4 linked regions of the Lonchura striata genome follow. The protein of the gene in region 1 interacts with the protein of each later gene in a biochemical or structural test. Links are inferred from orthologs where the notes say so. Each region holds a gene or a part of one and is shown in the gene's direction. Other genes may lie near its edges.

The links.
Region 2: of the proteins of RB1 (region 1) and CDK2, one has a biochemical effect on the other in vitro, tested with the Homo sapiens proteins (35 studies listed by BioGRID and IntAct). The link is inferred for Lonchura striata from reciprocal best matches to the Homo sapiens genes RB1 and CDK2.
Region 3: the proteins of RB1 (region 1) and JUN form a complex in vitro, tested with the Homo sapiens proteins (2 studies listed by BioGRID). The link is inferred for Lonchura striata from reciprocal best matches to the Homo sapiens genes RB1 and JUN.
Region 4: of the proteins of RB1 (region 1) and CDK9, one has a biochemical effect on the other in vitro, tested with the Homo sapiens proteins (4 studies listed by BioGRID, with this or other methods). The link is inferred for Lonchura striata from reciprocal best matches to the Homo sapiens genes RB1 and CDK9.

Annotation. Positions count from the first base shown.
Region 1 is NC_134604.1:61,979,143-61,987,100, forward strand, and holds the start of RB1 (retinoblastoma-associated protein), read left to right. Parts: upstream 1-4,944; coding exon 4,945-5,033; intron 5,034-5,218; coding exon 5,219-5,336; intron 5,337-7,958. UniProt on the Homo sapiens protein: Tumor suppressor that is a key regulator of the G1/S transition of the cell cycle. The hypophosphorylated form binds transcription regulators of the E2F family, preventing transcription of E2F-responsive genes.
Region 2 is NC_134629.1:9,321,596-9,329,073, forward strand, and holds the start of CDK2 (cyclin-dependent kinase 2), read left to right. Parts: upstream 1-4,477; 5' UTR 4,478-4,516; coding exon 4,517-4,632; intron 4,633-4,717; coding exon 4,718-4,795; intron 4,796-6,671; coding exon 6,672-6,792; intron 6,793-7,478. Other genes in the region: melanocyte protein PMEL, read right to left, coding at 336-399. UniProt on the Homo sapiens protein: Serine/threonine-protein kinase involved in the control of the cell cycle; essential for meiosis, but dispensable for mitosis. Phosphorylates CABLES1, CTNNB1, CDK2AP2, ERCC6, NBN, USP37, p53/TP53, NPM1, CDK7, RB1, BRCA2, MYC, NPAT, EZH2.
Region 3 is NC_134611.1:7,572,386-7,579,474, forward strand, and holds JUN (transcription factor Jun), read left to right. Parts: upstream 1-4,624; 5' UTR 4,625-4,966; coding exon 4,967-5,911; 3' UTR 5,912-6,589; downstream 6,590-7,089. UniProt on the Homo sapiens protein: Transcription factor that recognizes and binds to the AP-1 consensus motif 5'-TGA[GC]TCA-3'.
Region 4 is NC_134624.1:694,615-701,819, forward strand, and holds the start of CDK9 (cyclin-dependent kinase 9), read left to right. Parts: upstream 1-4,202; 5' UTR 4,203-4,237; coding exon 4,238-4,329; intron 4,330-4,887; coding exon 4,888-4,969; intron 4,970-5,379; coding exon 5,380-5,470; intron 5,471-6,887; coding exon 6,888-7,054; intron 7,055-7,205. Other genes in the region: SH2D3C (SH2 domain-containing protein 3C), read right to left, coding at 559-1,210, 3,161-3,200. UniProt on the Homo sapiens protein: Protein kinase involved in the regulation of transcription.

The DNA of each region.
Region 1 (7,958 bases):
GTGAGAGGAAGCAGAACTTGGGACCGAGAAGGATGGGAAGGGAGGGATTGTGGCAGGGTCCTTAATATGGCTGTGTAATTGCAACAAGAGGGCTGTGGCTTGCTTGCTGATAGTTATTTCATTAGTAGTTGGCAGTATCAGCTGAATGAACTGCCCTGCAGAGGGGACGCAGGATGCCTTCCCTGCACCCTCTTGGGGCACAGTGTACCCAGGGTTTGAAGTGCTTTGCCAGCCAAGGACACAGGGTGGTACTTGTGTGACAAAACACAGGCTGTGATGCAGCTGTGCATGCAAGGGCATGATTTATACTGATATCCAGGAACCCTTGTAAGCAAGGAAAGCCATACCAGGAATGATCATTTTTTGTCTGATGTAATTGCACTGTCACTAGGGCTTAATCTGATAAATTGCACCAGTCAGTGATTTTATTTTTTAGTACCCTGGCTCTCAGCACTAGTGCAAATCTGTTAAAACAGACACAGCTCTGACAGCCATTCTCACAGAGAACAAAAAATGTGGAGGGTCTGTATAAGTAGTTATGATTCCTCTATAAAAAAATACAACTGAGTAAAAAGAAAGTGACACTCAAGTCTAAAAGCTTGATCAATGCAAAACCTCTCTGATGTCCAAGAAAAATAACTGGAAGTATCTGTGAAGGGTTGAGGTTTTGCACATAGGCATCCTTTAGATGTAGCCATTTCCCCATCCAGTAACAGTGGTGTCCTTTCAGATCCCACTGGCAGTTTGGTCAAATGTTTTATTAATAGAGATTCCTGCCTTAAACTTATCACTGCAGTCCTGAGAGTCCAGCAGTGCCCTGTGTAGTGCTCTGAGAAGAGCAAGCCACCAATGCCTGTAACTGTGGAGTGAAAAGTATTCTTTTTAATAATAATATCAATGTATAGAGAGAGGCTTTGAATTTTTACAAGTGGCAACGTCTGACAGATCCCTCTCATCTTAAAGAGAAATGGGTAGATGTTTGTTATGGTCCCTATGGATTTTACCTCACTGTGGAAATATTAACTTACAGAGGGGGTTTTTATTCTTCATATCTCAGGATGTGTATTTGTGTAGGAAACAATGGCACAAAGGTCAGGCTCACCACCACCAAGAGGAACAACCAAACAGTTTCACCCCATCTCCCCAGTAAACCCTTCCCAATTTCAAAGGCAGAGTGATGCCAGCACAATCACAGAGTTACCAGGGGAGGTGATGCTGGGGAATGCAAAGGGCCTGTTCAAGCCATGGCCTGAATGTCCCTGAGGATCTCCTGCAGCAAGACTGTCACTTGGGTCTGCCTGCTGCACCAGGTGCTTCTCCAAAAAGGCTCTTCTTAAGGCCTGGGGCCTGTAGGGCAGCAGCTGGTGAAAAGTTAGCCTGCACCTCCTTGCTCCTGTTAGCACTCGTGCTGGGGCTTGAGAAGGACAGGTGGGCTCCAGGTGACACTGATGGCAGAGGGCTGGGGGCTGCTGAACAGTGCAAGGAATGTGAATGCACAGAAAAGGCTGGCTAGGAAAGCCTCTGTCCCCTCCCTAGATAATTCTGCCTGTTACATGCAGGAAAATGGGTGTGATACATGCAGACATCTTTATAGTCTTTGAGTTTTACAGCCTATGGGCTTTATTTGAGCAGAAATTCTGCCAATATTTAGTATTTGGACTTATATCCAGAAGCTCTCAATTTAGTGGGGTTTTAAATGCAGATGTTTTGGTCATACAACTTCAGAAAACTGATTTTACTATAATTGAAATAATGGCTTTAATTCCAACTGGCAATTACCATGAAATACTTTTAAGTGAAAAAATTAGGATAATAAAATTACCTAAGGTTGTCTTTTGTTATGTAACAAAATTACCTAAGGCTGGAAACAATGAGTCAGAACTGGACAATGCTTCACATATGTCCGTGACCTATACTATAAAAGCAGTTGGAGTAAGATGCTTAGAATGAAGGTTTTGTCAGATCAGATGCAAAAACTATCATTAATACTTTATTTGACATTGCAGTGTTTTCTTTGTGCTTCCCCAATAGCAGCTGATTTTTTTCTTTCCTTTGTAATTTTACTGTAATTTTACTGAAAAGTCTAAAGGCTTCATTTAGAAGATGTTTTAGAATACAGGATTAAAACTTTCAAATCAGTAAGTCTTAAAAGGAGAAGGGGAAAGAGGTGCAGCAACTTAAGTATGGTTTTACACAAGGATGTGCCTTTCTTTGGAAGTACATACATGTTAACTCTTCTTACTGCAGTTTAGATGTAGTTACTATACCCAAGGCTTTGGGATGGATTATTAAAGGTTATTTTTGCTTGATTCATCTGCTGTTCCCTTTGCCTCCTTCCAGCTGTAAGTTGAAGCATTCTGAGATTATATTTTTTTTTACCTATTTATGGAGGGGAGCCCTCAGAGCCTTGCTTGATGAAAAAGTACCTAAAATTTGACATGACAAGGTGCTTGGTGCACTAACAATTTTTTAAAAATAGTATTTACACTGAGGCTAGTTTGTGAACTTTTTAAAAGGAGCAATGCACAGAGGGCCACGAGACAAATTCTTTGCCTGCCATCTGGACGATGCAGGGCCTGGCTGTAACAGCATGTTAAAGCAGCTGCGAGGGAAGCGACCCAGGAGGGTGTGTTTGTTTGTCTTGCTAACAGCTGGCATGGCCTCCACTGGCTGCAACCAAGTTTTCTGAGATGCTTTGCTCTCATTTTAAATTCTTTTGTGCTCTTAAAGCCAGTTCTGAGGAGAAGGCAATGGACTCAGCTGTGGTTTAGGGGTTCAGCTTACTTTTCCAAGCTGGTCTGTCTACTTGTCTGTGGTTCAGTGGTTGATGACAGACAGTCCTACCCCAAACCTTCCACAGCATCTGGTACCATCTGAATACAAAAAGTATTTAAATGTGCTTAGAAGCAGGGTAAAGCTACTGCCACAATTTTACTAGAATCATAATCAGGAATGTCCAAATCCCACTACAGTCTACAACTCAAACGTTTAATTTGGAGTTTATGTACTTTGATTTGTTCTGTATTCACTTTTCTGTAATTGGTTTAATTCTAATTATAAAGCAGAAAGCCAGACACTGTTCTCCTGTTTTAAGTTAAGAATCATAAAGGACACGCCTGAACAAATTACTAGAATGTATGGTTGTAAAAATACTAGGGAATTTTAATTGTATAACACATTAATGCTCATGCTGATTTTTGTTTGGGATTTTCTTAAATCCAGAGTTTTGACAGCAGTCTCACTAAAAGCAGTTGCTTTACAGGTGAATGACAGATACGTGCAGGTAGTAAGAATACTTACATACAAATACTTTTCCTTTTTTAAGAAGTTGTCATCATGTAAGTCTGAAAATAAACATGCTTGTTTACAGCAGAGATTGGCCTTCTAAATGTGAGTATGCAACTGCAGACAACAAAGCAGATTTCTAAGATCTTTGAATCAGAGCACTGGCAATTTGAATCTCATTGACTTAAAATCCAGATGTCCACAACCTGAACTTTTTACATTAATGTAATTTTACTGCACAGTGCTAGAAATAACATTTCAGTTAGGACTTGGATGAATTCAGATTGAGACGTCACTGAATCATTTAGGTTTGAAGACCTCAGAAGACCTCTGAGATCATCAAGGCCATCCTTTGACTGGTCACCTACCACCTTGTCAATGAGACTATGGCACCAAATGCCATCATGTCTAGTTATTTCTTGAACACCTTTTGGGATGGTGACTTCACTGGGCAGCCCATTCCAATGTTTAACAATCCCTTCTATGATTAAATTCCTCTTGGTGTCCAACCTAAACTTCCCCTGGTGCAGTCTGAGGCCACAACCTCTTGTCCTGTCACTTGTTACCTGTGAGAAGATGCCAACCCTCACCTCACTACAGGCTTTGCTCAGGCAGTTGCAGAGAGCAGTAAGGTCTCCCAAGCCTCCTGTTTCCAGGTTAAACACCCGCAGCTCCCTCAGCCACTCCTCACAGGACTTGCGCTCCGGACCCTTCCCTAGCTACCCTGCCCTTCTCTGGACTTTCTTCTCGAGAGGAGCTGGACACAGTTGAGTTATAGCCCCACCCGTGCCGAGCACAAGGCGACAATCCCTGCCCTGCTCCTGCTGCCCACACTGTTGCTGATGCAGGCCAGGATGCCATTGTCCTTCTTGGCTACCTGGGCACACTCTGGCTTCACATTCAGCTGCTGCCGACCAGCACCCCCAGCTCCTTTCACCCCGGGCCACTCCCAGCCGCTGTGCCACCAGCCTGCAGCGCTGCCAGCGGCTGCTGTGACCGGCGCGCAGGGCCGGCACTTGGTCTCCATGAACCGACAGATCCTAAAGGATCTGCAATTCTTGCTCCGCTCTGCGCCTGTAGTTATTCCGTACAGTTATTCTCACACACCGGCCCGCGTTCCTTCCCAGCTCACGGAAAAGATGTACCGGCTGTGCTCGCTGAGTGCCTGAAGTCTCAGGCACGGCGGGGCCGCCGTTCCCGCGGCGGCTCTGGGGCCGCGCCGCGCCGCCTCTGCCCCGGTCCCGCCCCGAGCCCGGGCCGCGCCGCGCCGCCTCCGCCCCGGTCCCGCCCCGAGCCCGGGCCGCGCCGCGCCGCCTCCGCCCCGGTCCCGCCCCGAGCCCGGGCCGCGCCGCGCCGCCTCCGCCCCGGTCCCGCCCCGAGCCCGGGCCGCGCCGCGCCGCCTCCGCCCCGGTCCCGCCCCGAGCCCGGGCCGCGCCGCGCCGCCTCCGCCCCGGTCCCGCCCCGAGCCCGGGCCGCGCCGCGCCGCCTCTGCCCCGGTCCCGCCCCGAGCCCGGGCCGCGGGCGGGGCGGGGCGCGGCCGCCGGCGCGGAAGTGACGGAAGTGGCGCTGACGCCGTTTTCCCGCGGTTCGGGCGGCGGGCGGGGGCAGCGGCCCCGGTCAGTGCTGCCCGCGGCGGGCGCTCCCGGAGCCGCTCCCGCCATGCCGCCCAAGCCCCCGCGCAGGGCGGGCGCCGCCAGGGCGCAGCGCCCCAGCCCCGACGGCGGCTCCGCGCCGCCCGCCGCCCCCCGGTAAGGGCTCTCGGCGCCCCGCTGCAGGCGGGCGGGCCGCCCCGGGGCTCTCGGCGCCCGGCGGGCCGGGCTGTGGGCGGTGCGGGGCGGTGTCACCCCGGGGCGGCTCCGGCAGCCGGTGGCGTGGGTCTCGTGGTCGCCCCGCGGTCCCTGTCCCCGCTGGCGATGTGCGATGCTTTTCCTAGGGTCGAGGTCGGCGAAGCGGACTTCGCTGCGCTGTGTGAGGCGCTGAAGGTGTCGGAGAGCGTGAGGGAGAGAGCGTGGAAGACGTACGAGAGCTTGTCGGCAGCGGATGGAGCTCTGGTGAGTAGCGGCATCGCTCGGTCTGCCCTGTGCCCCAGCTCAGGCGCTGCGCCCTAGCTTCGCTGCAGCCGCGGCCGGGGCTCCCACAGCCAAAGCTCACGTACTCTGCTTTTTCCAAGCGAAGGTAGACTGAAGTGGGGTGTTGCCATGTTCACGTCTGTGTAAACCGGCTTCTGTAGATTGCTCTTTTTTGTTAATATTTTGTGATAAAAGTGCGTGCTCAGGAGTCCTTTTAGATAACTAACAAGTGGCATTAGAAAATAGCACCATGTGATCAGCGAATTCTTCCAACTGCAAGTTATTTCAAATATGTCTTAATCAGCTTTATACAGGTAGTCTTACTGTGTGTTTCTGTGTATTTTTTCCCCTTTGCATCTTTTATGAAGCTGCAGAAAGGGTATTGAGATGACTGTTGCAGAGACAGTTGCCTTTCTGTTGCATAATGTTAACCTGTGCTTATCAATGAGGCATTTCCGTTCAAATTAGTCATTAGGCATGTGTAAACAGATTAATAAAGCCTTTCTTGATTTTTGCTTTTCCTTCTCCTCAGTATGAGCTGGCTCAGAGGACAGCTGTAATACAGCTAAATCATGGCAAAAGCTTTGTTGTAGAGTCCTGATGCAGTTGCATAATATCTAGCTGGGGTATTATTCCCACCGTGTGGACTTGCATTGATGTACGTGTTCTGACTTCTGCTTACCCTTCTGCAACTTGAGCTGACCTGTCACAGCTATGCTGTCACTACTAATAGTTTGTAATCTGTGTTTTTTAAACTGCAGTGTGGATATACCAGGTCTTGATACATTCACATAATGGACTAACAATATAATGGAAGGGAGACTGCACAGCTCTTTCAGTAACAGATATAATTTCTGGTCATGGGTGTTCATGGGAAACATTCACCTAAAATCATAGTCAAGTTCCTCTATAAGAATGAAAACAGGAGTAGTCATTTCCCTTGATTGAAAAAAAAAAAAACAAGGCAGGTTGCAATATAATCCTGAAAATTTCATTTACAGGTAAAGTTTTGTTTTCACTGATCATTACTTAGCAGTGAACAGATAAGATACATGGTGGTTGAAACCTTTCAGCATCTGGAGATTGCTTCCTTTACCTATTCAGAACCAGACCTTCATTATGATATATAAATAATACCTGTTGTCTTGCAATTGTTTGTTGACAGTCTTTCAATGTACAGGGAAAAAAAAAAATCTACATTTAATTTCAGTCCAAGGCCTTTTGCTCAGACTTAGAGCTCTATCTGCAGGGTGTTGAAATGAGTAAGCTGTCAACTGTGTGCCTCCATGGGGACCTGGAAGGCACTGGAGTTGCTACTTCTAGCTGAGAGCAGGCTTTGTCTGACTCTGAAGTCAAGCAAAGTAACAGCCTGGCTAGTTGCTGCTTCTTTTCCCAAGTCAAGCTCTTACGGCAAGCCTGGCTTCTCAGGACGACTCTGTTCTATTCTTCAAGTTGCAGGGATTCAGGCGGAGGCTGCTCTTTTCTTCCCTCTGGTAAAGGTATTATGTTGGAGGGGCAGTCCCAGGGTTTGTCCTGCAAGCACCAGCTGCATGTGTTTTGATCAGTGAGGTTCAGTAGTAACCTGTTCAGTTCTGAACTGGAGCAGAAGCTGTGTAGCAGCTTTCTGTTCTCAAGCAAAAAGTTAAACAGCAGGCCACCAGTTGAGACAAATACTTACCAGAACACTTCTGTTTAGCAATGTAGTTGGTTTGACTTGAAAAAGCTTAAATCATAAGGCTGCTGATGGAAATAGAGGTAGAATCTAAGAATCCACCTCTCAAGCCATTTACAAAGTACAAAGACCTGAAACCTTGCCTTTCTTGGCTCACTGGCCTTGTTTTATTGTGGTTGATACTAGAATTGTGCCTGCCAAATCTCTGAGGACGTGAAGGGCACTTGTACTGGTAACTAGAAAGCAGTATGGCCGAGACTTTAGGTACCGTGGTAACTGGCAGATACTCAGGGTGCAGATGTGGGTTTGGATGCAGTCTGAACATCTGCCATATCCTTGCTCAGTGCACATTTAATGACTTGAAAACATCTTGCATACTGTCCTTTTTGAGTTGCTTAGGGTGCATGTGTAGAGACTCTGCAAACCAGGTAAATGTGGCTTAGAAGTATAAAGCAATTATTTTTGGCAGGCATTTACACAATAAATTGCTAGAATGTCGTGACCTAGCAGCCTAAATGTGCCTGTGCTTCAGTGAGACATTTTATTGGCCAGGCAGGCGTAAGCCAGGAGGAGAGAACCTGTTATCTGCTACTCCCTGGAATGAATGCCAATGCCCATTGGAGCCACTGCTTTTTTTTCCATCAGATGTCACAACTTTCCACTCTGATATTTTTTTTTCTTTTGAACATTGGAGCTACTAGTGGTGATACTTTGAAATTTCAGCTTTCTTATCTTGCCCTTCCTTTCCAAGCACTTTAGCTTTCCTTGCAGTGGTCTCCAGTTACCTGTTTCCACAGCATGTGAGTCAAGGATATACAGGTGCACCCTATTGCAACTGGGCTGTGAGTCCTTGAAACAGCTGAACCTCTTTGACAGGTGTGGAGGAGGAGCAAGGTGACGAGAGAGATGGTAACACAACTTTTCTGGAAAAT
Region 2 (7,478 bases), on another chromosome or scaffold:
AAAAACCCCCAAAGAATGGGACTCCGGACACCCCCCACACCCCCAAAAAAACTCATTTATGTCCAAGCCCGAACCCCAATGGGGATTATCGGGGTACAACCGAACTCCGTGACGGATTTTTCTTTAAGGAGAGGCTCTGCACCCCAAAACCCCCAAAATATGAAGCTCCGGGCGCCCCCCGCACCCCAAAAAAATTATGTCACAAACCCGCGAACCCCATGGGGATTATCGGGGTACAACCCAACCCCGTGACGGATTTTTCTTTAAGAGGGGGCTTTGCACCCCAAAATATGAAGCTCCGGACGCCCCCCGCACCCCAAAAAAACCCCACTTACGCCTCTGAGCCTCAGCCAGGAGCAGCAGCACCCCAAAAACCGCGATGGCCCCGAGCCCCCTCATGGTCCCCGCTCGTCTCCCCCCACGCTCGGCACGGCCGGGGCAGAGGCGCCGGGCTCGGGGAGAGCCGCACAAAAAGGGGGCGCTCATTTGCATAGCCACGCCCCCCCAAAAAAGGGGGGGACAGGGGCCGTGACCCCCCCAAATCCGCCCCCAAAATCCCCCCCCCTCCCCTGCCACGTGGGGCCACCCGCGGTCACACGGTGCGGGGGGGGGGGGAGGTTTTGGGGACCCCCCACAAAACGGCGAAGGGGTTTTGGGGGGACCCCCCCCCAAATTCCGGCACGCGGAGAGCGCGGGGATGGGGTTTGGGGGTTTGGGGGTCGGGGTTTTGGGGTTGTTTGGGGTTTTTGGGGTTTGGGATTTTGTGGTTTTGGGATTTTTTGGGGTTTGGGGTTTTTGGGGGACCCCCCCCCCCCAAATTCCGGCACGCGGAGACCCCAGGGATGGGGATTTGGGATTTTTGGGGTTTGGGATTTTTGGGGTTTGGGATTTTTGGGATTCGGGATTTTTGTCGTTTTTGGGGTTTTTGGGATTTGGGACTTTTGCGGTTTGGGGTTTTGGAGTTTTTTGGGTTTGGGAGTTTTGGGGTTTGGGGGGATCATGGGGGTGACAGCCATGGGGGGGGGGTCCCCAATTCTGCACACAGCGGGGGGACCCCCGGTTTGACACTCAGTGAGAGTGGGGGACCCCCAGCCTGGCACGGGAGGGGTGGGGACCCCAATTCCGGGGGGTCACCCGTGGGGGCCCCCGATGACACAGGGGGACCCCGATCCCGGTCGGGGTCTCCCATGGGGGACCCCGATCCTGGTGGGTGACAAGGGGGGGACCCCGATGACACAGGGGGACCCCAAACCTGGTGGGTGACACGGGGGGACCCTGGGGGGTGACACGGGGGGACCCCGATGGCACAGGGGGACCCCAAACCTGGTGGGTGACACAGGGGGGGACCCCAATAATGGACAAAAGGCGGAGGGGTCCCCAGTTCTGCACACGCAGGGGGACCCCGAACCTGGTGGGTGACACGGGGGGACCCCGATTTCAGTGGGTGACACGGGGGGACCCCGATGACACAGGGGGACCCCGAACCTGGTGGGTGACATGAGAGGGGGACCCCAATCATGGAGAGAACGGGGAGGGGTCCCCAATTCTGCACACGCAGGGCGACCCCAATCTCGGTGGGTGACACGGGTGGGAACCCCGATTTCAGCGGGTGACACGGGGAGGGACCCCGATGACACAGGGGGACCTCGATCTCGGTGGGTGACACGGGGGGGACCCCGATCCCGGTGGGTGACCCCCATCTTTCCTGCTCCGGCCGTTTCCGTGCCCCCGGGGCTGTCCCGGTGCGTGCGGGCCCGTTCCGGTGGGGCCACGTGTGCGGAGAGCCCCGTGACCCCCGGGAGCCCCGTGACCCCCGGGAGCCCCGTGACCCCCGTGCGGCCCCCGGGGCTGCTCCCCGTGACCCCCGCGTGTCCGGTTGTGGTCTGGCCGCAGCCCGAGCTGTGGTCCCGGTGTCCGGTCCCGGTGCCCGGTGCCCGGTGCAGGCACTGGCTGAGCAGCCCGGGCAGAGGCTGCGGCGTCCCGGTCCTGACCCCGACCCCATCCTGGTCCCTGTCCTTGTTCCGATCCCATCCTTATCCCGGATCCTGATCCCAAATCCCCGGTCCCGGTCTCAGTCCCGATCTGATTCCCGGTCCTTGGTCCCATTCCCGATTCCGATTCCCGGTCCCGGTCTCGGTCCTTGTCCCTGTTTCAGTTGCTGGTCTCGGTTCCTGATCCCAAACCCGGTCCCTGTCCCTGTCCCGGTCCCAATCCGGTTCCTGGTCCCGGTCCCTGTCCCCATCCCAAACCCGGTCCCTGTCCCTGTCCCCAATGTCCCTGTCCCTGTCCTGTCCCTGTCCCTGTCCCTGTCCCTGTCCCCAAAGTCCCAATCCCAATCCCCTGTCCCTGTCCCCAATGTCCCGATCATGTCCCGGTCCCTGTCCCTGTCCCGGTCCCTGTCCCCGGTCCCTGTCCCTGTCCTTGTCCCTGTCCCTGTCCTGGTCCCAATCCGGTTCCTGGTCCCGGTCCCTGTCCCCATCCCAAACCCGGTCCCTGTCCCTGTCCCCAATGTCCCGATCCCTGTCCTGTCCCTGTCCCTGTCCCTGTCCTGTCCCTGTCCCTGTCCCTGTCCCTGTCCCTGTCCTGTCCCTGTCCTGTCCATGTCCCTGTCCCTGTCCCTGTCCCTGTCCTGTCCCTGTCCCTGTCCCTGTCCCTGTCCTGTCCCTGTCCCTGTCCTGTCCCTGTCCTGTCCATGTCCCTGTCCCTGTCCCTGTCCCTGTCCTGTCCCTGTCCCTGTCCCTGTCCCTGTCCCTGTCCCTGTCCCTGTCCTGTCCCTGCCCCTGTCCCTGTCCTGTCCCTGTCCCTGTCCCGGTCCCCAATGTCCCGATCCCTGTCCTGTCCCTGTCCCTGTCCATGTCCTGTCCCTGTCCCTGTCCCTGTCCCTGTCCCTGTCCCTGTCCTGTCCCTGTCCCTGTCCCGGTCCCCAATGTCCCGATCCCTGTCCCTGTCCCTGTCCATGTCCTGTCCCTGTCCCTGTCCCTGTCCCGATCCTTGTTCCTGTCCCTGTCCCTGTCCCTGTCCCTGTCCCTGTCCCTGTCCCTGTCCTGTCCCTGTCCCTGTCCATGTCCTGTCCCTGTCCCTGTCCTGTCCATGTCCCTGTCCCTCTCCCTGTCCCTGTCCCTCTCCCTGTCCATGTCCTGTCCCTGTCCCGATCCCTGTCCCTCTCCCTGTCCCTGTCCCTGTCCCTGTCCCTGTCCTGTCCCTGTCCCTGTCCCTATCCCATCCCTGTCCCTGTCCCTGTCCTGTCCCTGTTCCTGTCCCTGTCCCTGTCCTGTCCCTGTCCCTGTCCTGTCCTGTCCCTGTCCCTGTCCCTGTCCCGGTCCCCAATGTCCCGGTCCCTGTCCCCATTGCCGCCGTCTCTCCCGGTAGTGTGCCTGTCTCTTTAAGGTATCTCCCGCCTCTCCAGTGACGTCACGCGCGGCTCAGCCAATGGGCGGCGGCGCGGGGGGCGTGGCCGGCGGCAAGGCGGGAAGCGGCGCGGGCGGGGCCGCCGCGGGTTTGGCGCGCGCGGGGGGGACGCGGCGGCCGCGCTCGGGACCCCCGGGAACCCCCCCAGGGACACCCCGGGACAACCGGGGACCCCCAGAACCCCCCCGGACACCCCGGCCCCGCCGGGGACACCCCCGGCACCGGGACTGCCCCGCAGCCCCACCCCCACCCCGGATATCCCTCCCGGCGACCCCCAGAACCCCTCCGGGGCACCCCCGGTGACACCGGGACACCCCCGGGGACACCCAGAGACCCCCGGGATAGCTCCGGAACCCCAGCCCCACCCCGGATATCCCTCCCGGGGACCCCCAGAACCCCTCCGGGGCACCCCCGGTAACACCGGGACACCCCCGGTGACACCCGGACACCCTCGGGAATACCCAGAGACCCCCGGGATACACCCGGTGACACCCCCGGATCCCCACCCCCACCCCGAATATCCCTCCCGGGGACCCCCAGAACCTCTCCGGGGCACCCCCGGTGACACCGGGACACCCCCGGTAACACCGGGACACCCCCGGTAACACCGGGGATACCTCCGGGGACACCCAGAGACCCCCGGGATAGCTCCGGAACCCCAGCCCCACCCCGGATATCCCTCCCGGGGATCCCCAGAACCTCTCCGGGGCACCCCCGGTGACACCGGGACACCCCCGGTAACACCGGGGACACCCCCGGGGACACCCAGAGACCCCCGGGACAGCTCCGCAACCCCACCCCGACCCCAGATATCCCTCCCGGGGACCCTCGAGGATACCCAGAGACCCCCAGGGACACCCCCGGTGACACCGGGTACACCCCCGGTAACACACAGAACCCCACCGGCGACACCCCCGGCGACACTCAGGGACCGCCGGGGACACCCCCAGACCCCCGTGCCACCCCCGGCAATCCCCGCCCTTACCCCGGGTATCCCTCCCTGCGACCACCGCCCACCTCCGGGACCACCCCCGTCCCCATTCCCAGTGTGCCCCGCCACTCCCGGTGTCCCCCCGCCACTCCCGGTGTCCCCCCCGGTGTCCCCTCCATGGAGAACTTCCAGAAGGTGGAGAAGATCGGTGAGGGCACCTACGGCGTGGTCTACAAGGCCCGCAACAAGGTGACGGGAGAGGTGGTGGCACTCAAGAAGATCCGCCTGGACACGTGAGTGGGGGGTCCCGGGGGGTCCCGGGGGTCTCCCGGGGGGTCCCCGGGCTCACGGCCACCCCCGGCGCCGCTGTCACGGCAGGGAGACCGAGGGTGTCCCCAGCACGGCCATCAGGGAGATCTCGCTGCTCAAGGAGCTCAACCACCCCAACATCGTCAAGTGAGGCCGGGGGTGCTGGGGGTGGGTTTTGGGGGGCTCTGGGGGGAGCTGGTAATGGGGAGGGGTCCCCGGGATTGTCCTGGGGGGTTTGGGGGGACGTGGTAATGGGGAGGGGTCCCCGGGATTGTCCTGGGGGGTTTGGGGGTGGTGGTAACGGGGAGGGGTCCCCGGGAGTGTCCCGGGGGGTTTTGGGGGGCTTTGGGGGGTGATGGTAACGGGGAGGGGTCCCCGGGAGTGTCCTGGGGGGTTTTGGGGGTGATGATAACGGGGAGGGGTCCCTAGGATTGTCTTGGTGGGTTTTGGGGGGAGCTGGTAATGGGGAGGGGTCCCCGGGATTGTCCTGGGGGGTTTTGGGGGGGCTTTGGGGGGTGATGGTAACGGGGAGGGGTCCCCGGGATTGTCTTGGGGGGTTTTGGGGGGAGCTGGTAACGGGGAGGGGTCCCCGGGATTGTCCTGGTGGGTTTTGGGGGGAGCTGGTAATGGGGAGGGGTCCCCGGGAGTGTCCTGGTGGGTTTTGGGGGGAGCTGGTAACGGGGAGGGGTCCCCGGGATTGTCCTGGGGGGTTTGGGGGTGATGGTAACGGGGAGGGGTCCCCGGGAGTGTCCTGGTGGGTTTTGGGGGGAGGTGGTAATGGGGAGGGGTCCCCAGGATTGTCCTGGTGGGTTTTGGGGGGAGCTGGTACTGGGGAGGGGTCCCCGGGATTGTCCTGGGGGGTTTTGGGGGGAGGTGGTAATGGGGAGGGGTCCCCAGGATTGTCCTGGGGGTGTCTCGGAGGGTCTTGGGGGGCTCTGGAGGGTCCTGGTGGGCTTTTGGGGGGTTCTGGGGGGGAATGTCACTGAGGAGGGGTCCCCAGGAGTGTCCTGGGGGGGCTTTGTGGTGTCCCTGTGGCCATGGGACCCCTGGGGCTGTGGTGTCCCCGTGTCCCTGTCCCTCTGTCCCTGTCCCCAAGCTGTCCCCGTGTCCCAGGCTGTGTCCCAGACTTTGTCCCTGTGTCCCTGTCCCTGTGTCCCTGTCCCTGTCCCCGTGTCCCTGTCCCCATGTCCCTGTCCCCAAGCTGTCCCCGTGTCCCAGGCTGTGTCCCAGACTTTGTCCCTGTGTCCCTGTCCCTGTGTCCCTGTCCCTGTCCCCGTGTCCCTGTCCCCATGTCCCTGTCCCCAAGCTGTCCCCGTGTCCCAGGCTGTGTCCCAGACTTTGTCCCTCTGTCCCTGTCCCCGTGTCCCTGTCCCTGTCCCCGTGTCCCTGTCCCCATGTCCCTGTCCCCAGGCTGTCCCCATGTCCCCAAGCTGTCCCCAGGCTGTCCCCGTGTCCCCAGACTGTCCCCATGTCCCTGTCCCCGTGTCCCCAGGCTGTCCCCACACTGTCCCCACGCTGTCCCCGTGTCCCTGTCCCCGTGTCCCTGTCCCTGTGTCCCTGTCCCCGTGTCCCTGTCCCCGTGTCCCTGTCCCCATGTCCCCAGGCTGTCCCCAGGCTGTCCCTGTGTCCCTGTCCCCATGTCCCAGGGCTGTCCCCACACTGTCCCCAAGCTGTCCCCGTGGTCCCAGGCTGTGTCCCAGACTTTGTCCCCATGTCCCTGTCCCCGTGTCCCCAGGCTGTCCCCACACTGTCCCCACGCTGTCCCCATGTCCCCAGGCTGCTGGATGTCATCCACACAGAGAACAAGCTGTACCTGGTGTTCGAGTTCCTGTCCCAGTGTCCCTGTCCCTCTGTCCCTGTCCCCAAGCTGTCCCCGTGTCCCAGGCTGTGTCCCAGACTTTGTCCCTGTGTCCCTGTCCCTGTGTCCCTGTCCCTGTCCCCGTGTCCCTGTCCCCGTGTCCCCAAGCTGTCCCCGTGTCCCTGTCCCCATGTCCCTGTCCCCAAGCTGTCCCCGTGTCCCCAGGCTGCTGGATGTCATCCACACGGAGAACAAGCTGTACCTGGTGTTCGAGTTCCTGCACCAGGACCTCAAGAAGTTCATGGACTCCTCCTCGCTCAGCGGGATCGCGCTGCCGCTCATCAAGGTGGGACCCCGAAACATCTGGGGGGGCCCTAAAACATCTGGGGGGGCCCTAAAACATCTGGGGAGGCCCTAAAACATCTGGGGGGGCCCTAAAACATCTGGGGGGGCCTAAAACATCTGGGGAGGCCTTAAAATATCTGGGGGGGCCTAAAACATCTTGAGGACATTGGGGGAACCCTAAAGCACCTTGTGTCATTGGGGTCCCCTGGGTCACTCAGGGGTCACTCAGGGGATGTCCCCAGTGTCCCAAACGATGTCCCCAATGTCCCCAGTGATGTCCCCAATGTCCCAAACGATGTCCCCAATGTCCCAAACGATGTCCCCAATGTCCCCATCGCTGTCCCCAGAGTCACCTGTCCCATCTGCTGCAGGGGCTGCTGTTCTGCCAGGTGACCCCAAAACCCCGAACCCATTCTGGGGGTCCCCTGGGTCACTCAGGGGTCACTCAGGGGTCTGAAACGATGTCCCCAATGTCCCCAGTGATGTCCCCAATGTCCCAAACAATGTCCCCAATGTCCCCAATGCTGTCTCCAGAGTCACCTGTCCCATCTGCTGCAGGGGCTGCTGTTCTGCCAGGTGACCCCAAAACCCCAAACCCACCCCGGGGGTCCCGTGGGTCACTCAGGGGTCACTCAGGGGTCTGACCTTGATGTCCCCAATGTCCCAAACAATGTCCCCAATGTCCCC
Region 3 (7,089 bases), on another chromosome or scaffold:
ACTCATTTTCCCCTATTCCACAAACTATTAGTTTCAAAGAAATTCAGAGATTAATTAAAATGATTGGTGGGATGAGTAGGTGAGGGGGACAGGCTAAAGGGCTTGACAAGAAGGAAGATGAAAAGGACTGAGTGCGTACGGCTTGGTTATGCGATGACTAATGGAGGGTGGAGGAGATGGACACGATATTCATTTACAAGTGCCTGTGGTTCTGAAGAGCATTTTTCATGTGCAAAATGAACACTCACTCAACACTGGCTGGGCTTTTTTAGAGTTTTGATTCCAGAGTCCTCCACATCAAGCTGCGAGTCCCACTCTTCCCCCAGCCTTATCCATTCCCACCTTTCCCCTGTGTCCCCAGGTGTATTGATTTGTTTTTATTTCAGCCACAGTTCCTGGATCTCCACCTGGCCACAGGAGTCCTGCTGGGAGCAAAGAGCAGGAGGAGAGGCCACGGAAGCTGGGGGTGGATGAGGTGGCAGCTGTGCCACGCCTGTGCTGTGCTGCAGACTTGGACCCACTTGAACCGAGGACGCAAACACGCCCCGAGGAACCGGCGAGGGACTGGGACCAGCAGAACCCGGGAATGATTATTTTACTTCCACTTGGCCTAAGGAAACTCTATTCCTTGTACCCTCTCACTCCCACCTTCTTTTACTGTGCCTTGATGGAGTAAATAAGAGAAAAATACTTTTGCTTTCTGACTCTTCAAACTCTTGTCTCCCCCAGTTGGAGAAAACTGGTCTATAGTAACTCCTTAAGCAAGTGTGCAAAAATCCAGGATTTCCCAGTTTTACTCACTTTAAGATGTGAAGAAGGATATCACATTTAGAAAGTGTGAAGTCCTGTTTTTTTAAAAAAAGAAGACAAAAAATCTACATAATAATTTTCTATACAATAAAGGTGTTATGGAAACTTCTCTGAGGAGAAGAAAAAGCAAAATATTCTGACATGTCTAAAGAAAAATATATATTGAAATATTTAATATACATGTAATAAAACTATATGGGAAAAAGTATTTTTTTTTTCTGTGACCACTCTTTCCAATGTAAAAAAAAATCAGAAACTGACATTTATCCTTTTTTCTTTCCTTTTTTTTTTTTTTCCCAAATAATTTTGAAGTAAGTCAAAATCATTTGAGATGCAGGAGTGAAACAAACCAGCAAACCCATTTATTCCTGGACACCAAATATAATTTAGATGGATGTGGTGTGTGCAACAAATTTTAATTTGTCCCTGAAAAGCCATTTAATTATTCAGATTATCTGATTGCCTCACTCAAGCTTCTATTGATTGATTAGAGAAGCTTATAAATCAAAATGTGCATTACTGTTGCTCAACGCATCGGCCTCTCAGAAATACAGGGCAGGGATTGGCAATTCCTAGCCACAAGTTAGTTTATTGAGCCATGTAAATGGCTCTGGTTTGTACCTGGGTCAGGAAGCATTCCCTCATCCTACTAAAGGAATATTTTCTTAAGGATGTCAGGAAAGGGGGAATAAAAGCCTGGAATTAATAGGTGTTTAATAAATCAGAGCATAGCCACCAGCTCCTTGGCTAATGGCCATGAAGGATCACTATCCATGGGTCCTGCTTTTGGATCTGCTCCACTCTGAGTGTGTCAGCGCCGATTTTGGGACTGAAATCTCAGCCAAACCCTCCCAAAGGTCCCCAGCTAGGCAGGAAATCCCCTGGGAGCAGCCAGGAGCTCCTGTCTTTGATTTCAGTGCTCTGCTGCTCCGCAGAACCTTCACAAGCACCTTGGCTCTCTGTGGCAGGGAACAACCTGCAGTGAGCAGCAGTGACGGGAATGGGTGTCCCCAGAGCCACAGGGCCCCAGCTCCCAAACTGGAATGTCTGCTCCCCAACCCCGCCTCTGCAAGAGGAAGGAAGTACAGAGCTGAAATGGGTGGAGGGGAAAAAAAAAATTAAATTAAATTAATCCCTCCCGCCTGATCCAGCCCTTACTGAAGTTAATCAAAACCTTGCAGATCAGTGAGCTCCAAAGGCAGTTTTACAGGTTATACAAATCTGTAATAAATAGAGTGGTTTAAGCTATGCTGACCATGTTCCTCATAGTTTGAATTTTGCTTTCTAGGACAGAAGAAACATGCAGCAGAAAACTCCAAAAGATAAAACAAAACAACACAACCAACTAATACATAAAGGTAATCAGAATAAATTTTAATAGTATTTGTCTATACAGCAAATTAATTGTGTGGCTTCCTATGCACCAGATACCCCCATTTTTAGCTTCATTTGGAAATATTTAAAATCATTTATTTCAAAATAAAAAACTCCATACAACAAACGACCTCGAATTCAAGTCTTACATTTCTTCAGATTTTCTTCCTTGCCCTTTATAAACATGAAAACTGCGGGGTGACACTGAAATCATTTATGGGCTATCCCCGGGGGCTGTAACACTTCAAGGACGGCCACACGAGATCCCCATCTCTGACAGGGGCCAGGAGTGGGTCCCTAGGGAGCCACCCCAAGCCAGGGATGCCCCCCGGGCACAAGTCATTTGCAGCCCTAGGATTTCCAGAGCCAGTGTAGATGCTCCGTGATTCACAGACCTAAAGTGATTTCTCTTCCGTGAATTCATCCATCACGTTAAAATCCCTCCGTCCACCCTTGCCAGGGAGTTCCAGCGCTGAACCGCAGTTCTTTGGTTTGTTCCGAACCTGCCAGTTTCATTTGATGTCCCTTGGCTCTGAGGCCAGAAGAGTCAGCCACAGGTCTCTATTTATCTTGTATGTAAACATTAAAAGGAATTAATTTGAGTGCTCACTGCATTAATGAAATCCTGAGATTTTCTTATGCATGCGCAGTAACTTAGTGCTGTTTGGCTGAACAGTTTACCCAGCTGAAGTTTGAGTTACCTGCAGCCCAGAGAGATGCTAACTCTGTGAAGGCTGTACAGACACCAGCAGCACACAGTGAGCCCCCTCATCCAGTCCAAAACGTTTTTTTTTTATTTTGTGCTACAGACTGTTAACACACTGCATGCATTATTTCCATCATTCCCGTTAACACCAGTGCTTGCCATGTGGCCAAAGTCAGGTGGGAACAACGCAGAAGGAAAAATCCCCAACAACTTCCAAGAGGGGAGCTGGACCTTCACTTTTCTTTCATAGATGCTGATGTTTCTGTTTGCTTCGCTGCTCCTTTCTATACGGTAACTGGTAATTATGTCATTACATCCAGGAAAAAAATAGAACTGGGGAATTTGAAAGGGTGTTTTCAAAATGAACCTAAGTTTGTTAGCTTCACATGTCGTGTGAAGGGGTTCAAGCTGACAGATCAAGTTCTGCACTGACAAAAAGCTGAACAGCAGCAAGCCAACAGCTTCGAGTTGGAAGCACGAGGAGCACTTGTTGCACTGCTGGCAATCAAACCCACCAGGACAGCCCTGCAGTCCCTGTGCCACCCCGTCCTGTCACTGCCTGTCCTCAAATACCTGCTGCACTTTACTCCAGCGGTGGCAGCAATCCCAAATCCCCAGCACGCCGAGAGAAGGGGGTGTGCGGGGCAAGGGAAGGCAAGCGCATCCCTGTGATCAGCGCTCTGCCCGCACGGAGCAGCGCAGCGAGGCACAGCTCCCATCTGTTGCTGCCAGCGGGGACTTTTCTCCTCCGCCGCGATCCTCCGGCTCCAGCCCTTATTCTCCCTCCCGCCCAACCTGCAATTCCACAGCAATACTGGGACACTGTCTAAAATTAGGCCGTCGCTGTCCCTTCCCCTTGGAGGACGAGTTCAGAGAAACCCATCCGTAACCCGGCTTTTTCCTGTCGGGTTTTACTTCCCCTCCGTGTTCTCCCGGCTATTCCCGAGGCCGGGAATCGGCTCTCTGTGGAGGCAGAGCCGTGCCCGGGGGCGGGTGCGGGCGGAGGTGCGGGGGCGAAGGCGAACCCCCAGCGAAACCCCGCGGGGCCGGGCGGGCCAGCGGGGACTCCCCGGGCGGCGCGGGGGCAGAGCCCCGGGGGCCGGGCGGGCGGCGCGGGGGAGCCCCGGGGCCCGGGCGGGCAGAGCCCCGGGGCCCGGGCGGGCAGGGCCCCGGGGGCCGGGCGGGCCGGGCCGGGCGGGCGGCGCGGGGGAGCCGCCGGTGCCGCCCGCGGCGCTGCCTGGAAGCGGCGGGGGCGGCGGGACGGGGAAACCACGTGGGGCTCCCCGGGAGCGCCGCCACCTGAAGGGCCGGACCGGCGGCGGGGGGAGGGAAGCGCCGGAACGCGGCGCAGGCAGCGCAAACAAACAAACAAACAGGCAGATAAACAAACAGACAGACAAACGGACGGACGGACGGACGGACGGGGCTCGGCGCACCGGCGGCGGCCGGCCCGCGGTAACCGGATCGTTCAAAAACAAAAAGACGTCAGCCCACACTGCCCCGCGCGCGCGCCCCCCCCGCCATTACGTCATCCCACAAGGCCCCGCGCGCTCAAGAAGCTTCTGAAGTGGGGGGGGGGCGGGGGGTGGCCATGGCGACCGCGCGCCGGGCCCTGGCCCCGCCCCCCCCTCGGGGACGGGGCGGCAGCAGCCAATGGGGAGCGCGCGGGGTGACATCATGCGCTATTTTTAGCGGGCCCGCGGCCGCTGATAAGTGAAGGGCTGCACGGCGGGAGCGGGCGCAGAGCGCGGGGTGGCGGGAGCGAGCGAGTGAACGAGCGAGTGAACGAGCGAGCGCGGCCGCCGGGACGGTGGAGCGGGAATAGCGCGGAGCCGGGCAGGGAAAGTACTTGTGGCGGCGGAGCGGCGTCCCGGCACCACCGGCGAGAGGAGGAGGAGGGAGGCGAGGCGCCCCGCCAGGCCGGGCGGGCTCTCAGCGCGGCAGCGGCAGCGGCGATCCAGTAAGGCTCCGCGTTTCTCCTTCCTCGGCTCCGCGTTCCCCTTCCCCGGGAGGGTCGGGGTGCCCGCGGGGAGCTGAGCGGCGGCCGGGCAGCTTCCCTTCCCCGGACTGTGTTCTATGAGTGCAAAGATGGAGCCTACTTTCTACGAGGATGCGCTGAGCGCCGGCTTCGCGCCGCCGGAGAGCGGCGGGTACGGATACAATAACGCCAAGGTGCTGAAGCAGAACATGACGCTGAACCTGTCCGACCCCTCCAGCAACCTGAAGCCGCACCTGAGGAACAAGAACGCCGACATCCTCACCTCGCCCGACGTGGGGCTCCTCAAACTGGCCTCGCCCGAGCTGGAGCGGCTCATCATCCAGTCCAGCAACGGGCTGATCACCACCACGCCGACCCCGACGCAGTTCCTGTGCCCCAAGAATGTCACCGACGAGCAGGAGGGGTTCGCCGAGGGTTTCGTGAGAGCTTTGGCGGAGCTGCACAACCAGAACACGCTGCCCAGCGTCACCTCGGCCGCCCAGCCCGTCAGCAGCGGGATGGCACCTGTGTCCTCCATGGCCGGCAGCACCAGCTTCAACACCAGTTTGCACAGCGAGCCCCCGGTGTACGCCAACCTCAGCAACTTCAACCCCAACGCGCTCAGCTCCGCGCCCAGCTACAACGCCAACAGCATGGGATACGCGCCCCAGCATCACATAAACCCGCAGATGCCCGTGCAGCATCCCCGGCTCCAGGCTCTGAAAGAGGAGCCGCAGACTGTACCTGAAATGCCGGGGGAAACTCCTCCCCTGTCCCCCATTGACATGGAGTCACAGGAGAGAATCAAAGCCGAGAGAAAGCGCATGAGGAACAGAATCGCGGCGTCCAAATGCCGGAAAAGGAAGTTGGAAAGGATTGCCCGGTTGGAAGAAAAAGTGAAAACTTTGAAAGCCCAGAACTCAGAGCTGGCATCCACTGCCAACATGCTCAGAGAACAGGTTGCACAGCTTAAGCAGAAGGTCATGAACCACGTCAACAGCGGGTGCCAGCTCATGCTCACACAGCAGTTGCAGACGTTTTGAAGAGACTCTTCGGCGAGAACTGTGTGTTGTGGTACAACTAAAAGAGGAAAAATCCAAAGTGGCAGAGGCATAAAGCTAATGGCAAAGAGCTGAGGGGCTGTCCTGCCTGTGCTCCGCAAAGCGCATGTGTGGAAAGACTGGCAAAGCCTTGGGCTGGAGCCGGGAGCGCAGCGGGCAGCGCTGCTCCGGGAAGTGCTGCTCCTGCTCGGATGAGATGTCAGATCTTCGTTTAACATTGACCAAGACCTGCATGGACCTAACATTCGATGATCATTCAGTATTAAAGGTTAAACTGCAATAGAAACTGTAGATTGCTTTATGTAGTATTCCTTAAGAAAAAAAAAAAAAAGTGGGAGGGAGGTTTGTGGGAGGCTGATAAACAAAAAAAAAAAAAAGAACTGTTCTGCCTGCCTTCAAGTAAATTGTGTATGTACATATCTTTTTTTATTTTATTTTATGAAAGTTGATTAATGTCAATAAACTACTTCATGACTTTGTAAGTTATTTTTATGTTGTTTATTTGGGCACTGCCCAGTATTGTTTGTAAATAAGAGGCTTTTTTTTAGCACTCTGAGTTTACCATTTGTAATAAAGTATAATTTTTTAATGTTTCTGTTTCTGGAAAAAAATTCTAGAAGGTTCTATTATATTTAAGAAAAATAAAATAATTAAAATGTATTTTCCCCTCACACTTTTTTTTTTTATTTTTGGCTAGTACCTTAGTTGGGAAAATGCCCTTTGGGCTGCAGTCTGAAGGGTAGGGATTATGCTGAATTTACTCTGTAACTCCAGACATGTCCTGGAGAAGGTGTGAGGAGGGGAGGGAGAAGCCAGACCGTCCTCATTAAACTCCTACAACCTCTGGGGCTGTCCTGAAGTTGGATTCCCCAGCTGCAGCCTGCCTGCCTGCCTCGTTCTTGGGGCCCAGTTTAGACATCTGACTTCAGGCAGGGTTGTGGAGGGATGGAAAGGCAGGGAACAAAATTGTTCCATAACTGGAGCAACTGGCTACTTGATCTGACATGTTTTTTATTAAATTAATGCCCTCAAGAAGATAAGGCAGGTGGCTGTATTAAGAGAACTATGCTGTAGGCTTCAAAAATAAAAATATTCACCTTTATCCCTGTATTTTCTCAGGTAGGAGGTGATTCTTGTCTGTTAATATTTATGACAATGCT
Region 4 (7,205 bases), on another chromosome or scaffold:
TCTCAGAGGGCTGAACCTCCAAATTCCCCCGGAGGGAGAGATTGTGCCTGGAGTGGGGAATTTGTGCCCAGAGTGGGGGTTTACTGGTAGGTGATGAAATAGGGACGGAGTGTCTGGTTTCAGGATTTGCCCCTGTGCCTTGGGAGAGGCAGCGCTGCTCGGCAGAGGGGGAGAGGACAGAGGGGGTGGAAAAGCGGAGAGAGGCGGAGGAGGCTGTAACAGTGCTGCTGTGAGCTCTCCGCAGCAGCACATCCTGGTGCTGGAACGCAGCCGCCGCAGGACAAAGAGATGCCGGGGCAGAGCGGGGCTGCGAGATGTTTCCACCCCGTCCGGAAACAGGAGGGAGCAGAAATCCCACAGGAAACCTCGTTCCCATGGAGCCGCTGACCTGACCGTGCTCCAGCTGTGTTGTCCCACCGGCCAGGTGCATCCCGCTGGCACTGTGGGCACGAGGGGACATTGCAGTGACCCTGGTTGGTCCCAGCCCCCTCCTCTTGCCCTGTGGGGGAGCAAAATGGGGGTCTTAGCAGAAGGCAGAGCAAACCTCAAGGGTTATACCTGTCTGGGGAGATCTTGTCAGGATGCTCTTGTCCCTTTTCCAGCAGATCCCCATCAGTGGTCTCTGCTCCAGCTGCTGTGTCAGGGCTTGTGGTTTGGCTGGGGTTTGGAGCCAGGCTGGAGCTCAGTGTCTCTGCCCTAGGGCAGGAGACGTTTCCCACAGGCTCCTGGTCTGTCCTGTCCATTGCTGCCTCCACGGTGTCCCCAGGTTCAGCTTTTTCCTCCTCCTGCCCTGCTTCTCCAGCAGTCAAGGGTGAGTCTGTGCCTGGGGCAGGGGTGCTGGACATCTCAGGGCACTTGAGGCTGGGGAGTGGGGCTGCCTGGGGGGTTTTGTTGTTGGGAGTCCCTTTCTCCCAGCAGTTCTGGCTACTCTTGTCTTTGCCCAGGCTCTTCCCTGCCTTGCCCAGATTCACCCTGGGCATGGTGCCCATGTGGGAGTACATGTTCGACGACTGGGCGTAGGGGCCAGGGCTCTTGGGCACGGTGTTGAGATCATCCTGGGTGCTGTCAAAGGGCTCTCCCAGGAAGCCGTGGGGAGGTGGGACATGTGCTCTGAGATTGTCGGCACAGCTGGGGTCCACAGGGACGCGCCGGAAGGTGAAGGAGCGGGGGATGCTGCTCAGGCTCCCAAAGCCTTTGAACCTGAAAAACTCTGGCAAGGAGAAAGGAGTGATGAGTGTGGGGTTACTGCTGGCATGGTGTGATGATGGGGGATCCCAGAGCCCCTGGTCCTGGGTTGGGCTGAGCAAGGAGCACTATGCAGCCTGGTGTCACCCTGTTACACCCACATCTGCAGGCCCAGCTTGGCATGATATCCCTGTGGTCTGTGGTGTACATGATGCTGCTTGAGGCATGTCTGTTGGGTACCTGGGAACTCTGCCCTGGTCCCTCGGGGAGCAGAAGTCTCCTGTGCCTGGCAAATCTAGCGGCTGTATCTCCCTACCACGGCTGAGGAGGGGAGGAAACACCCAACCCTGGTGAGCAGGCAACTCTAAAAGTTATTTCTAACACCTACTTCCTCCAGGGGCCTCTGGGCAGAGCTATGCCCATCCCCGCAACCTTAGGGCAGCCCTGCAGGATGCAAGAATGGGCCACACGGCATCTCCCTAGGGAATGGGGGTCCTGGATGCACATGACCTGCCCACATGTGCATGTCGCCGGCACGATGGAGCAGGAACCAGCCACGGGCGCTGCTGCGGCAGCAGATAACCTCCCCACTTCCTCGCCCGGCCCCTCGCCAGCTCCAGCTGCCACCTGCAAGTGCTGAGCATGAACATGTTCGCCGGAGAAATATTTATAACTGCGGCGGGCGGCTTTGCATTTCACACCCCAGCCCCAGCTCGGCTCTGTGTGTCACCGCAGCGCAGCCTTGGATGGTGCCGGTGCCGGTGCCGGTGCCGGTGCCGGTGCCGGTGCTCGGGCTGAGCGAGCCTGTGGCTGCAGTGCTGTTGAGCAGCGCTTCCCTGCCGCCGTGGTTCCCACCGGGGATTTTGCAGTGCTGATGCCGCCCCGGGGCTCTGCGAAGCACGGCAGATTTGCTGGGGCAGGAAGCGACACTTTGCAGAGGTGCTGAGCAAGGACCAGGGTGTCCCGGGCTGCTCAGCCCCTGGATTCCCACCTCCAGTTGCCATCCACGGGTTCTGTGGGGCATCCCTGCAGCTGGACAGGGTGGAGGGGCTGCATCCCAAAAGCCCCTCTGTGAGGCAGAAACCTCATTGAGTGCAGTTAGAGGCAAAATTACTTTGTGCTAAACATCCCCTTGGAGTCCAAGCATCTTCTGCTACCTGCTGCTCCTGGGGCTGCTGAAAGGTGGGAAAGGCAGCCCTGAGGATTTTCTCAATTTCCACGCCACTCCACCACAAAGGAAAATCCCAGCTGGGATGGGGCCCTGGGTTTGGCCAGTGGAGGGGTCCCGGGGGAGCAGAGGGACTGACCCCCCTCTGGCGCCAGCCCCGTGGCAGGAATGCAAGAGCACAGCCCAGCGCTGGGAATGGGGTGAAGGCCACTGCAGCCTCCCCCCGGAGCTCCGGGGGAAAGCTGAGGTCTGTGAGAAAGTGCAGAGCTCGCTCCCGGTGGGTATCAAGCACTTCCTCCCAGAAGAGCCGGTGGGAATCCATTCCCAGGCTCCCTCCCCAGCTTCTCTGTGTCACCCCCGTCCCTGTGCTGCAGGAGCACCCTGGGGTGAGGGTCCTAGCCACCCCTGGCCCCCAGCACCATCTTGTACCCAAGCCATGCACCCTGAAGTTGGTTTAATGATTTAAGGAGTGAAGAATCTCCAAATCCTGCTGTGCATCCCTCTGCCCACATCCCAGCATCCAGCACAGGGCTGTGCTGCAGCATACTGGTCCCAGTCCCTGCACCCAGCTCCTGAGCCAGCACCCAGCCCTGTGGATGAAAACCTCAAAGTCCCTCACCCCACTGAGTTTCCTAACAAAAGCAGAGGCTGTCACAGCTCCAAACATCCCTGGATTGGGATGACCCCATCCCTGGATGGGATGACCTGGGGAGCGTGTAAGCACACACTCAACACTAACTGTCACACATCCTCCTACCCACCGAGACGTCCAGGTGAGCCCGCCCACCCTGTGCCGTGGCCACTTACTGAATTTCTTGAAGCCCCGTCGTTTCTGGCCCTCGGCCATGGCCGTGCTGCTTGGAGGCCGCGGGGACTAAGAGGGACAAGTATATAACTGTGAAGCCCTTCCCTGCCTGCTCCTCCCTTCCTGCCCCCCCAGCCACCCCGCTCATCGCTCGCTCAGCATTTCCTCCCCACTGCTGTCATCTGCTCCCTGCCCCGCTGCTGTCCCTGCCCGCCCTCGCGCTGTCCCCACAGTTCCTGAAGTCCCCGTGGCTGCTTGCACCTGCCTGGCTGCTCGAGAGTCACCTCCGCACCCCGGTTTGGGGACATCTGCCAGATGTGGACAACCAAAAACCTCTGGGTGCCAGCCCTGAAAGAGGGTTCCAGCCTCATGGAAGAAGGTGGCAGCCTTAGGAGGAGCGTGACAGCCCTTTGGGTGAGGGTGCCAGCTGTGTGGGTGAGGCTCCAGCCCTGCAGACAGAACTCTGCCGTGCACGTCAGATGCTCAGCCCGTGTGGGATGAGAGCTGGGTGGCGTCGCTGCCAGCAGGAGCACTCCTCACCAGCCACTCTCTCCTTCTGGGGACAGTGCTCCATTACAGTGTGGCCATGCAGGACAAGGTGGCCTGGACCCAGCAGGGGTCTGCTGTCTGTGTTTCCCTCAGCAAGCCGCTGGCAGCCACCTCTGCCACAGCTCGGTCCTTTGGTGCTGTGCACCTCGGGGACCGGTTTCGAACAGCCTGAGATGGAGCTCTTTGTCCTGCACCTGAACACAGTCACGGCCAGGGGAGGAACTCAGGGTCCCCTGAACCAGACCCTGGAGTCCTCCTGCCTGGCCAAAGCCTCCCTGCGTCAGAGCCGCAGCTGCAGGAGCAGAAGCCTTGTTTAACTCCTGACGTGCTTAAGCACACACGGGGCACCCAGCAAAGCGCTTTAGGGCCACGGGGAGCGCTCGGGGCTCCCGGGCCACGAGGAGGGACAACATGGCGGCGGCCCCAGGGACTGCAACACCCACAGGGCCCCGCGCGGGCGGGCGGGTCACGTGACGGCGTCACGTGGCGGAACGGGCGGGACGCGGTGCTGTGGCAACGGCGCGGCCGCCATGGCCAAGCAGTACGACATGGTCGAGTGCCCCTTCTGCGACGAGGTTTCCAAGTACGAGAAGCTCGCCAAGATCGGGCAGGGCACCTTCGGGTGAGTGCTCGCCGGCCCCGGCCCTCCATGACCCGCCCCGGCCTTCCCCAGCCTCAGGCCTGCAGCTGGGCCCAGCCCGCGGCCCATCGTGCCTGCCTCGGGTGCTCCTTGCTCGGTGTCCTTTCCCCTGCCGCCCCTCTGCCCTCAGAGAGCCAGTCTGTTTCCTGGGCCCTCTTTTCCCAACCTGAGGTCCCGCTCTGTCCCAGCTCTGCCAGAGCAGAGTTAACCTTGAAAACAGTTAGGGTGGCGACCTGTAACTTGCCTCCAAATGTGCAGCTTGGCTCCAAATGTACAGCTTTTTGCTCAAAATGTGCTACATTACTGGAAATCCTTGTAAGGCTGCAAGAGATCTGGGCTCTCTGTTGGTTCACTGAGTCCTGAGGGCCTTTGGCCCAGGGGAATGTGGCTATATTGGCTCAGCACAGAGTTCTCTGTGTGGTGCTTTAGTGTATCTTGTTTGGGCTTGTTCCTTGTGGGGGCACCTGGCTCCTTTCTCCTTGTGCTGCTCATGGATATTTTTTAAATTTTTTTTTTTTTTTTTTTTTTTTTTTTTAACAGAGAAGTTTTCAAAGCTAAACATCGCCAGACAGGCAAGAAAGTAGCACTGAAGAAGGTGTTGATGGAAAATGAGAAAGAAGGGGTGAGTGTGGGGCATGGCTGGGTTGGGCCTGTTGTCACCTGGGCTGCAAAGGCACATGGCAGCAGCGAGGGGACTGGGCTGCATGGGATGGCTGCTTCCCATGTGTTTCTTCTCCTCTGGGACCCTGAGCACAGGGCTCCACACTGGCTGTGTCTGTGGAAGAACTGGGTGATGTGTCAGACACATGCTCAGGGGTTGGGGAGAGAGTTAAGAGCTTAAACAGCAAAGGCAGCAGCCAGGGAGGCTGTTCTGCAGCTCAGGCTGGGCTGTACCCTGTCCTAGTGTGAATATAAAAGGTGAGGAGAGGAGGGGAGGACCTGTCAAGCTGCATGGTCACACCTCCTGTTCTCTGGCAAAGATGGCCTTGTCTCCTGCATCTCCAACCTCCATTCTCTCTTTCTCTTTTCCAGTTTCCCATCACAGCCTTACGAGAGATTAAAATCCTCCAGCTGCTCAAACATGAGAATGTGGTGAACCTCATAGAAATCTGCAGGACCAAAGGTACTTTGCAGGGTGTCCCTTGTGTCAATGATGGCTTTTCTGAGCCCTGCCAGTGGTGAGCAGGCTGGTGTCTTGTGCTGGGAGTGGAGTGGTCTAGCTGAGCATGGGCCTCTCTTCCTGCCTGTGACATGGGGTGACAGGTTACTTACCTTGGAAAAGAGTTCCTAAATGAGTCAGGACGTTGCTGAAGCTCAGATGGAAAAAGCTGTTGTAGTCCTGCCAGGATATGCCTGTGCTGGGAAGCTCCTTCTGAGAGGCTTTAAACGAACAAGCACTTTGGAGCAGAGGCTCCTCAGCCTCTGTATCTGGTGTTATTTAAAAAGTCCAGTCACTGAATGGGCAGAAATGTCTGGCCTAGTGATGGGAAATTCAAGATACTCCAGTACACTGAATTGTGTGTAGATTACTGTCTGAATAGGTATGAGTGAAGACACCAATGACAAGTTAATTTGTAATTCACTCTGTGATTAAAAGAGCTGCCATGATTGGGTGTCTCACATACCAAAAGTAAATATTTTTGTAGACATGTCATTTGTTCCCTTTTTATGTTTTGTTTGTATTCCAGTTTTTATCCAAATCTACCTTGACCTCAGTTTGCAGTAAAGTAGAAATGTTTCATTTACTGTTGTCAAACATGAGGCTTTTCTCTTTTTGTGTTGGAAAGGCGTGTTTGGGGCTGTGTCTGTGTGAGGAACTGCAAACTCAGTGTAGCAGGCACCCTCCTGGGGAGGAGAGTAGTGTGCTTCTCTGGGGGCTAAGCTTTTCCGGCTGGAGATGCTGATCAGCAGGTTTGCTGATTACAACTGATGAAAATCAGCTTTTCTTTTTAATAATGTTTTGCGTGGGTGCTCTAGGAACAAGATTAAAATCTCTTAAAGTCTGCTATCTTATCACTTAAAGTCTTCACTTAAAGTCTGCTATCATTCAATTAAAATTGGAGTTTTATATCACTTTGATCAAGATCAGTCCGTTTTTGCAGATCCTGTTTGAGGTTGCAGGAAATCTCACTTTTTAATGTGAGATTAGACAGATTTTCTGTGTTTCTGCATTTTTCCCGGGGCTGTCTGTGGGTGTCTCCTCTATCTCTGGTGCTTGGCTGGCAGCCACAGCTTGCAGGGAGGAAACCCCACAGCCGTTACGTGCCCAGAGCTGCACGAAGTGAAGCTTTCAAAGGTTGCCATGCCCTTTCCTTGCCTTTCTGATGACATTTGCTGCACCAATCCTCATCTCCCGTTCTTGTGTTGCTAGTTTTTGCTCAGTTCTTTAAAAAGGACCTTGAGGCCTGCAGGCTGTCTGGTTCTCTGTGTTCCCGTGCCCTGAGATTCTGTGTAGGGGGTGTTGTATGAGTGGGAGGTGAGAGGAGCTGTGACCCAGTGAAAGGTCCCTCACTGGCAGCCTCTCTGTGCCTCTCCCGCAGCCTCTCCGTACAACCGGTGCAAGGGCAGCATCTACCTTGTGTTTGACTTCTGTGAGCACGACCTGGCTGGCCTTCTCAGCAACGCCCATGTCAAGTTCACACTGTCAGAGATTAAGAAAGTTATGCAGATGCTCCTGAATGGACTTTACTACATCCACAGGAACAAGGTAATGGGAAAGACTTCTGCTGTGCTCAGAGGGTGACTTTCCAAGGAGCAGGTGTCTTAGCACAGGCTGGAGGGAAATCCTTGTTTCCCACCTCTGCAGCCTGAACATTGTGCTGGCGCAAGGCACCTAAGGAGGGCACTGCATTCACTTA